Linked DNA regions of Mytilus edulis. The protein of the gene in region 2 interacts with the protein of the main gene of each other region in a pairwise test. Links are inferred from orthologs where the notes say so. Each region holds a gene or a part of one and is shown on either strand. Other genes may lie near its edges.

Region 1 (3,764 bases), on a different chromosome or scaffold from region 2:
CGAATTCAAATGTTATTTTACGTTCTACTTCAAATTTTAACTGAGGAGTTTCATATTGTTTTGTTAATGATTTTTAAGTGTTGAATGTTTGTGAAGAGTATTGAAGCTAAAGATAAATGCTATTGTTAGTTTAACTTAATTTAAAAAAAAATTAATGTAAAAAAAGCAAATTTAACCGAATTATAGAAATGAATGAAAATCATTTGATTTCATATTTTTTAAGAAAAAGATGTTTATATAAAATTATTTTACCATTTTTATTCGCTTCAACATATAAAAATAAAATAAATTTATAATCATTATTTTACAGGCGAGTTAAAAAATATACTTGAAACAGAAATCTTTTTTTGTAATCTGCAAATAATAAAGGAAAGAATATTGTTCCTCACAAAGTAAAAGATTTTTTATTTTTTCAACAATAAAGTCTTTTTTTTAGAAGCGTTCTATTTATATAATTTTTGTAGCAAAATCGAGATATTTCATTATAGAATATTTTTGTGATTTGTATACATATTTGTGTTTCCCTAACTATGATACATGATTTAAGAACTACAAACTGTGTGTGCTAAGCCGTCGGATACTAATACTGCTCCCAGTTAATATTTCTCTAAAATATGGATATGATTATCTTATGATTAATCCAGTTATTTCCGAATACATTACAGATAAAGATTTAATATTTTCCTTCAGGCCGATAATCCGTTTATCTTCAAAAAGCATCATGTGTTTTGAAAATGACAACTGTCAATTTCATGCCTGGTAAATTTCACACAATGTAATAAAATAAAAACAAGCAAAATTTTTATCCATTTTATACTATCAAAAATGTCTGAAGGGTTAAATATTATTAATACATTTTCAATACACGGATTTAAGATTGAGTACACTGGGCGCCGTGAAGGCCCGTTAAATTATTGTGACTTATAAAGTAAAACCTAACTAGCTATTACTCCAGCAATCATAACTCTACAATGAGAGGAAATAATAAATATAGAAATAGATACAGAAAATAAAGTTTACATTTTATATTTGTTATATATTGTGTTTACATAAGGATGTCCATTCCAGAACTTAAGTCGCTGTAGGAAGAACTAGGTACTCACGAATTACATACATAAACTGTCGTTAAATAGTAGGAGAACATGCAACAAAATGTTGAGAAATATCTTTGACCGACTGTTTAAAGATTAGTGTGACATAACTCTATGGTGAATTGGATATATAGATTAAAATATAATCTGTAAAATATATTATTTATTGCATACAATATCCAGTTTACGATGGTATAATTGTTGTTTATTTTTTTTATCTTAGAATCCTTCAAAACCTCAAATCAAAATGTGAAATGTTTTAGATACACGTGTTGGTATGTAACTTGCGTGAAAGTTTATTATTTTATTTTTCTCTCTATTTCCAAAATCAGCATCTTCAATCCGGACTGTTGGTCAGTCTGTTGGTTAAATTGTTAGTTTTTCCTTACATAGACCACAGTCAGAAGAAAAATATATGTCGTATCATCGTAAACAATACAACATCGGTCAGTATGGAATGTTTGTAAAAAAAAACATAAATAATTGTCAAAAATAATTTCCTAATGTCCCACAAATAACTAAAAATTATGCATCCTTTATATGCACGATATAACTTTGAAACGCAGAGAGGAGATGAAAACAAAAAGAATGAGTTATCTAAATGTTAAATGAAAAATGACCAAGTAGAAAGGGGGAGGATGCTATTTTCCAAAATTTTAAACAATTATTACAATTGACTTACCTGAAAATTTTGAAAAATTTTGTAGTTAATTGTCTAGTTTCCACAATGGTTGTCCCATTCACGCATCAATTACAAATTGTGTCCCTCCGCTGAAGATAACTTATTAGATTTTTCACGATTCAGTGATAACGTCTTGTTTGGTAAATTCCTCTGGACAGTTAACACACGTGCATTTAGTTTTCAAAACATAACTAGTAATTGTCAATGGCGACTGCTTACATATGCTTTTAAAATGTTATAAAATGTCTGGGTTAAAATTCCTACTTTTGTCGAGCGAAAAGAAACAGTATATGCGAAGTTACTGCTATATAATGTTATAAATCTGCAATCATTCTTTAACGAATATTTCAGGGCCGATTGCTTTTTCCACTACTTTGGTACGTTATAACGCCTGATTTAAAACTGCCACCTCTGTAGAGAAGTTCTTTTTAGCCATGAATTCACATATTTATTAAATCATGAAAAATAGGTGGAGCTTGAATAATTTCAACCAATCATTTTACGACTTCTACAACTATGTTAAGCTTGAGCAATCAGAAGTGTTTAAATCAAAATAAGATTTATGAAAAGATGAAATTATAAAATATAATATTGCTATCGGATTGAATTATTAAAATACATTATATCCAATTGGGCGGTCTAGTGAGAAAATACAAGATGCTGAGATTGGCTTGCTACGTGATAATGAGAGAATCGAATTTGTAGTAGCCCAATCATAAACATCCATTGCTTTTAAACTTCTTAAATGTATTTTAAACAAAAAACGAAGATTATTTTTGGAATTGATGAATTGATTTTTGGATTAAATAATTTTCTGATCGAATGTAATTAATTTCGTCATTAAATACCTGTAAGTCTTTGATGGTTGTCTTTATTAATTGACGTATTTTTCTTTTGTTTCATCGTTATTTATTATTAAATTGCATGTTTTCGTTGTAAGATTAATATTTTTTTCTTTTTATCAACTTCTATTTTAATTAAAATAATTTGAAACACGTAGACTAATTTATTAATGTGTACGAATTTTCCATCAATTTCATTTTAGTTTCCGATAAACATAAAATAAAAGAAAAGAATTATGAACACAAAATAATGTGTATTTTAAAATTGGAAATTTGGCAGTGACGTACATGTTTTAATATTTATAAACAATACATCAAATATCATCTAGTTTTAAAATTCATTTGAATTTGATAATTGTGCATATATTTATTTGAATATGTTCACACGTCCAAAACGTTTGTGAATTGTATGATATATTATTTTGTGTGATATTGCTGTAATTTGTGCATTTAAAAATATTTTTGTGAGACAAAGTAAATAGAAAACATCATAATATGAAGCTTGTAATTTATATAAAGAAAGAATAAGTGCAAACATATAGATATATTGTTTTAAAAATTTATTCTCTCGCAACATTTTCTTCAACTATTAATAACATTTTATATTTTCGTCGATTTATCGCGCTTAATAAGTCATCATAAGTTCTGAAATGTTTAACAATGATTTATTAATTAACATATCTGTATTGAAAAACTTATTTTTGTTCTTTTATCTAGTCATTATACCGTTTTCCCAAAAGAAATGAGACATAGAATGTGTAACCTCTCAAAGGAAATAAATATAAAAAAGAAATAAATAAACTAGAGGTAAAATAATTAAATCATTAAAAAGCACAATAGCATGAAATAAAATTCTAAATATAGAAAAGCGAAATGAAGTGTTCTACAATCAAACTTTTATATTTTTTGTATTGTCAAGTTTGTCAGAGGAAAGTAAGAATCGGAAACAAACATGGAATGAATTAATTTAGCCTTGATTTTTAAACGTTAAATATTATACATTATAGATAGAACAAGAATTGTTTTTTGGATACCTATGTGTCCTCAGCATAAGGTTTTAATCTAGAGAACTTTATACATATAAATATACTTCATTTTCTATTTTCTTTAACACCAAAAGCGTGCATATTCTTCTATTCAACCAGGAAA
Region 2 (3,764 bases):
TTATCAAACTCTCTAAAAATGCCTAGAATGCAGGATTTTGCACCATTCATTTCATACCCTCCAAAAAAAAATTTCGACTCGCTTCGCTCGGCTCAATTATTTTGCCTCACAATTCTAATCTAACTTAAATGAAAATTCAAATCAAGTCAAAAGAAAAATTATCTAGCGAATAACGATTGTGTTCTAAGAGCATAATCCCCATTGAGGACCCAGTAAAAAATCAAAATGATAAAGTCATACCAAATAGGACTACGATAATCTGTGCCTAGAACTAGAAAATTCTTTCTATTTTGCCTAATTCAAAGTTTTTTAAACAGTGTTTATAAAAAATATGATTGATATTTCATGCCAATAAAGAAATATAAGCCAACATTGTGCCAACAATATGCCAACGTATTAGGTACTTATCTCACCCCCTTTGTACCACATACTTGAAAATTATATTATTCCAATGTTCTAACAAAAAATGTGCTCTTCCTTCTCTTTATCTAACATTTTCAAATCTGTGTAGTCATTTAAATATCTGAATAATTTTATGCACAAACAAAAAATATTTAAAACCAGCACAAAACAACAAATACAATTTGAATATACTTTCATTTTTTCAATTTCTTGTAAATCAACACATCATTACACGAGTGAATTTTCCTACTCTATTATAATATTAACCAGTAGAATTTATGAATTGACTTATAATCATTCAATCCAATGCCTTAACTTTTATTAAAATGAGAATAAGGTTGACAGACTGTATTTAAAAAAAACCATTAAGTAGACATCAATAAAACATATCCTAGACATTAGAAGAATATTTTGTCCTGATGTTTGAAAGATGTTGTCTGGATATTTTCAATTGAAACTGAATTATATCAAAATTATGTTATTTCAATATAAAATCAAGATATTTAAAAATAATGCTCTTTAAACATTCAGAACAAATATTTCCAGAAAATATGCTATTCACATGAGTACAGCCAGACATATCACGTCAAAAACATGTTTTTGAATGATATTTTGGTGATATTTTGCAAGATATTTTAAAAATATCAATAAAATGTTTTTGTGCTACCTGGGTCTACGGTTTTTATATTTTGTTCATATATATACCAGTTTTCTCTATTCTTTAACGCTTCCTAAGAATAAAATATCAGATTATTTTGTCTGGTACACTGACATCGACTTTTATCTCGGTCAAACCATGATTTGATTAGTTACCATATTTGGTAAATTATCTCTTTTTTCGTCAAATTTATTTTTAGAAGGGGTTTCCCGAAATTTGCGATGCTACGTCATTTTCGTGATGAGGTCACCTCATTCGGAAAAATAGACTCGTTCTGGAATTAGACAATATGGCGGCCACCGAAAAGGGAAGGAAATGATATACAAATCTGATTAATTTTGACTATAAAACCCTTATGCAATTATCGATAATGTTTCCTGAGTATATAATAGCATGACCTAAAAGTACAAATAATGTAGCGTAGCATTTGTAGTGCCATGAGCGGTGTAGGGGGCTAATATACACCCTTTATTTTGTTCAAATGAAGAATGGGCGCACAACAAGGAAAAGAAGGAAAAAGTAGTAGCTCAAGTAAACCTAAGAGTAAAACAAAAGATCAGTCTCGACCATCACCCGGAAATCCTTCTATATTTACAGATCCGACTGGTAAGTTTGTGAACCCTTTATAGGACATGACTCATATCTCCACTCGAGATTTATAAGAAGATTTACTTTATCTCTTGAAATAATTTACAAAAAACTCTACAGGCAAACGAACCTCATATTCATTTTACTAGAGAAAAAGTGTTCTTGTAATGCATTGCATTTGCTCAAATTTATAATTGAAAACAATTCCTTTTGAAGGCAGCCAGAAGTAACATGGTCATGCATGAAGGAGTTTTGTGAGGAAATGTAACTTATTTAGTTGTCTGAAATTGGTTTGAAGCTTAAAACCTCAAAAGTAACCCAGCTTTATTTCTTGATGTCATACACCTGAAACATGTTCCTCTTCATATAATACAATCTACATGTCGTGTATATAAGAAATCTGTCTTTGTTAAGAACAAAATAGATTGGAACTAAGGTATCCGGTCGGTATGGCCCCAAAATGATCCGGCCCATAGTCACAGGGGATGAAATTAGCAGGGGCCCACAGGCCAATGGCCCCTAAAATTTTGTTTGGGCTACTTAAATTTTTGCTTTTCTTGTATAGAACTATATATGTGGACCACAAAATTTAAGCTGTGGGCTACCATTGCCAAAGTCTTAAGTTCTATCCCTGTTAAGTTGATCCGGCCCAATTCGATCCGGCCCTACGAAGATCCCTCCCAAAAATTAAATATGGAATAAACTATATTGACTTTGGAGGGTTTGGTGATAAATTTTATCAGTCTAAAAAAGTATCGATGATGGATGACAACAGGTATAAGTGAAGTATAAGAATATATTTGAGTACCAGTCAATTACATGTAGCATTCAATTATTTTAAGTTGAAAACCGCACAAATACAGTCGAGAACTTCAAGGCAGCTTTCCAAACAGTCAATAGGTATCTCTCTCTGGTATCTTTATATAGATAGATGAGAGATAGGAAGATGTGGTGTGAGTGCCAATGAGACAACTCTCTATCCAAATAACAATTTATAAAAGTAAACCATTATAGGTCAATGTACGGCCTTCAACAGTCCCTCCCCGTAATTGATCTTTCCTACTTGCGAGGGCCTGAATTCCTAACACGATAAAAACTTCATGAATCCTGGATTTTGAATTGTGCCCTGTAGTTGAGGTGACCAATCAGCTATTAGCTAAATTTTGTTGAGATAAGTAAATCCCGAGCTAATTCCGAATGGTTGATTGAAGATTTTTCATTGTCTATGCATTCAGGCGTTAATGTAGTAAGCAGAATACAATGACTGAATTATTCGGGTTAGACAATTGCTAATTTTCTCTATTGTCAATGCTTTGGATCAAAAGTATTTGAGAAATATAAAATCTTACAGATACTGCCATCTGCCAAATTGGGCGGTTCGTAACAGAGTACAAACAGCCGATTTCCCCCAGTGAATAACTAGTCATCACATACATTCCCGTAAGATTTTGAGGTTACTTAGAATACATGTATGTCTGATGCCACCATTCAAAATTTTTTATGCCCCTGCCATAGCGAAGCGGGCATTAAGTTTTACCCTTGTCCGTCTGTATGTCCCAAAATTGATTTCCTTTAGCTAGCTTTAGGTTGCCTCTACCAAATGTTATGAAACTTCTACAGTCTACACAATGTTTATTGTTTGAATTTTGGTGGTGTCACTTGAATATTTCTAGAGTTGTGTACCTTTACATATGATAAAAATGCTGAATTTATCTATTCCATTCTTTAACTTTAGTTTCCCTAAATCAAATAGGATATTTAACTTATGCACAATATAAAAAAGACAATGTGGTATGATTGCCAATGAGACAACTCTCCACAAGAGACCAAATGACTCGGAAATTAACAACTATAATATGGCTGTCAACAATGAGCATAATGAGCATAGCCTATACCCCATAGTCAGTTATAAAGGGACCCAAAATGACAAATGTAAAACAATTCAAACAAGAAATGCTTGTTACCACAAAACACAGATCAAGTTTGAATTTGGGTGGCATCACTTTTACTGTTAAAGAGTTACATGTATGCCCTATACAAATTCCTGAATTTTTCATTTCTGTTCTCTAACTTAAGTTTGCCTCAACTAACTGTTATGAAACTTATACACAATACT
Region 3 (3,764 bases), on a different chromosome or scaffold from region 2:
ACATTTCATTATCACTGGACTAGTATATATTTGTTTAGGGGCCAGCTGAAGGACGCCTCCGGGTGCGGGAATTTCTCGCTACATTGAAGACCTGTTGGTGACCCTCTGCTGTTGTTTTTTATTTGGGCGGGTTGTTGTCTCTTTGACACATTCCCCATTTCCATTCTCAATTTTATTTCACTTCTATCAATACCATTCGCTAAAACAAATCTTTTTTTATTATTTCCAATTTGCATATATCCATTAATTTTGCTGATTATGGACCTACATGTACAATAACAACAATACTTTATTTTAAGACTTTAAGGGTTACACAGTTAGCTATAAAACTAATCTTTCCTGAGGCCCTCACCATAGAAAGGCATATACAAAAATGCAAACATATACATGGCATAAATTTGTATAAAAGTCAAGTACAATGTATGATGATAATGTTCAATACAACTTGATAAAAAAAAATGTTATAAAAAAGTAAACATGGTGAAGTTATCATAAAATTTCATATAAATCCTACAAGAAATGTGAGATTGCTTTCAATGCAATTTTTCGATATAAATTACATTTAAAACAGACTTAATATATTCCTGGCAAAAAAACGACTGGCACTGAAAATAAAGCATTTTGTGTTATTGAAAATTCAACTTTTTATGAAGACAGCTGATACCAGATTTGATGTTGTGCGGGTACTCCTGTGAATGCCCTTGTTCCAATTGTTATTGTTCCGTCAAAGTGTTTTGTTGTAGGTGATGTTATCTAACGTCATTTGTGCATTTGTTGGGCATAAAATATACAAATGTCATGATCAGTACATTGTACATGTACACTGAGGTAAGGAATGAATATGCAAAATTTTATATGTTGATAAATTTCATATGTCTCGGACTGCTTTGATAACTGTTTTTAAAGATAAAATTAATCTACTTCTTATGATAGGGTTGAATCTGTACATAAGAATAAAGACAGGGGTTTGAAAAATGTCAAGCAGTTATTTTAAATAGCACTAATACTATTTTGTCTGTGACTTCCAGATATTTCTGCTCTATTAAATAGTCATTGAAATATAGCTCTGACCAATAACAAAGTAATTGACAACTTTCGAGTTCGATGCATTTCCGTCAAAAACTCTGGTTTTAGTGAACATCATTTGTGCGTTTAGGGGCGTCGTCACTTCCATTCCAATGTTGAGCGAGTGGTTGGATAATTCTATATTCATTTATGTACGAATTATTCATAATTTGGCAAATTGAATTCTCAAAATTGAAAATCAGCACTGCTGTCATTAGGGAATTGTCATTAAGTACCTACAGAACAACCATTATTTCTAGTTTATCCTGTACAATGACGATCACTAAGACGCTTGATGAACGTAAATAGTGCAGGGATACAGGCGATCCCCTCTATCTGGTTAATGACGTCATAAAGGCGAGCATAATAGGGCTCTTCACGGTTAGTTCGGCCATATTGGATAGGGGGCAGATTTTTTGGAAGGAGGTGGAAATGGTATGAAAGTGTGGGAAATCCTATGTGTGTTTCCAAGCAACAGCTCTGTTTTAATGATGTTTTCCCGTATTTTTCACACCATTTTTACCTCTATTATGAAAATCTGCCCCCTATCCAATATGGCCGAACTAACCGTAAAGAGCACTATTGACCAGTTTTTTCCGGTGACGGATGAACTTGAAAGTGGTCTATTGTTTTTCAAAATTTGGTTTTAACAAGAGAAGAAATAATTCATCACAAATTCATGCAGTTACATTTTTTTAATAAATATTGTGACAAGGGAGATAAATCTATCAGTTGTTTTAATCAAGGATTTGTATAGGATTAGATCAAATCCTTGTTTTATTTTTGGTAATTCTTGCCATTCTTTCTTATCCCTTTTAACTAAGAGAATTTTACTAATTTCGAAAAATTATATATTCACCATATCTTGCGTATGTTTGTGTGTTCAACTATAGAGTATTGCGTCTACCCAAATCTGAAAATAAAGTGCCACTCACTGAAAATTTACTGGCTGTCGCCTGTACACTTAATGCAACACGCTTCTTCTTGTCTAGCTTATCTTTAAATTAAAAAGTAATATCTTATAAGAGGTCGAAGTTTAATTCTCTGTGTTTTAGTTAAACTATTTAGTCATTTGTAAAAGTTTTCCACCAATGTTTACAAATCTAAAATCAGACGTCCCGCCACAATAATACGTCATTTCCTCTTTCTTTAAAACTAACTACCAAAAATACAATATAGACCAAAACGGCTGGTAGATTTGTCTCCCTTGTCACAATATTTATTTTAAAAACTGAGTCACCACATTTTGAAAAACAGAGTTTTTGACTTGCACACGAAAGGCTACATCGATCATGAAACGCAAGTGACCGCAAATGATACTTCTATATTTACTAGAGTAAAAGAGGGACGAAAGATACCAAAGATATCAAACCAGAGACATATATACACATGTGTATATATGTCTCTGATCAAACTCATAAATCGAAAATAAAATGACAACTCCACGGCTAAAAATGAAAAAGACAAACAGACAAACAATAGTACACATGACACAACATAGAAAACTAAAGAATAAGCAACACGAACCCCACCAAAAACAAAAAGTGTTGTAAGAAAATGTTAAGGTGGTATGGGAGTCTAAATTAAAAATGATAGAATAAATTTGTTCATATACTTTGCCAAAACGTAGTATATATATATTGACATATATTCAAAAATATTGTGAAAATGATAGTTTATCACGATTTCTTCAGGCTACAGGTTGTGACAAAATGACACATTTTTTTTCACAGATTAAACAGGAAAAAAATCATTATGTGATTATAGGAGCTGAACTGAATGATAACTAAAATTGTAAAATAAAATACGAGAAGATAGCTTTAAGGAAATGCTTTGATGATATCAAAAGAAAAGATTGGGTCACCGTGCGTTTTTTTCCAGTTAAAATACAAACTAGCACGTTTCATGTAGATTCCTTCAGAAAATGCACTATTTCAGAGTTATCTCCCATTAAAATGCTAATTTAAAAACATAAAAAAATCAAGCAAACTGAAATAATCTGCACTTGTAAAAGTATTAATAATTACAGAGACATATAATATAGTATTATGTGTCTCTGATAATTATAAGTTTTAATCTTATAAAGGAGTAGGTCCGGTAAGGACCGATTTTGGCCTTCAAATTTCAGGTTCATCTGACGAAAGATTTTGACCACTTTTTAAACACTTTTAAAATGTCTATTTTATTTGAATTATTTAGTTTATGTGAAAGATTTTAACAGATTTAGTCATTAAAAACGATCCGATTCAAGCTCAAATATGAAAAATCTACCTAATATGCCGAAAAATGTCACTTTTCAGATGGTTTTTGGTAAAAATGAAAGTGGCCGCATCCGTGTTCATCCTCAACCTTTATATATGTTATGTATTATCATAAAATACAACTAACATTTCAATATTAAGGATGAACACGAATGCGGCCACTTTCGTTTTACACGAAAACCGTCTAAAATTTAACTAAAATGCTAGAATTATGAGGATTTCAGTAATTTAGCATGACTTAATGGTGCTAGTACCGGATATATGTGCATTGTATTGTCAAAAACGGCCCATATTTATGTAGCAGAAGCATTCTACTGTTCAATAAATAACTAAAGGTTTACATTTTAACAATTTTGTAAAACTGCTATATTTTGGGGCCAAAAAGGGGTCTTACTGAACCTACTCCTTTGTTCTTTTGAATGGAAATTAACAGTAGTT

Evidence for each region.
Region 1: the proteins of tyrosine-protein kinase Abl-like (region 2) and paired box protein Pax-6-like interact in binary tests that used the Caenorhabditis elegans proteins (3 or more experiments, as listed by UniProt). The link is inferred for Mytilus edulis from reciprocal best matches to the Caenorhabditis elegans genes abl-1 and vab-3.
Region 3: the proteins of tyrosine-protein kinase Abl-like (region 2) and DNA repair protein RAD51 homolog 1 interact in a two-hybrid assay, tested with the Caenorhabditis elegans proteins (2 studies listed by BioGRID). The link is inferred for Mytilus edulis from reciprocal best matches to the Caenorhabditis elegans genes abl-1 and rad-51.

Annotation. Positions count from the first base shown.
Region 1 is NC_092350.1:1,506,935-1,510,698, forward strand, and holds the start of paired box protein Pax-6-like, read right to left. Parts: upstream 2,224-3,764; 5' UTR 1,774-2,223; intron 1-1,773.
Region 2 is NC_092345.1:30,627,036-30,630,799, reverse strand, and holds the start of tyrosine-protein kinase Abl-like, read left to right. Parts: upstream 1-1,313; 5' UTR 1,314-1,548; coding exon 1,549-1,666; intron 1,667-3,764. UniProt on the Caenorhabditis elegans protein: Functions downstream of migratory protein mig-13 and is involved in Q neuroblast migration during larval development.
Region 3 is NC_092346.1:57,670,590-57,674,353, reverse strand, and holds the start of DNA repair protein RAD51 homolog 1, read right to left. Parts: upstream 2,209-3,764; 5' UTR 2,001-2,208; intron 1-2,000.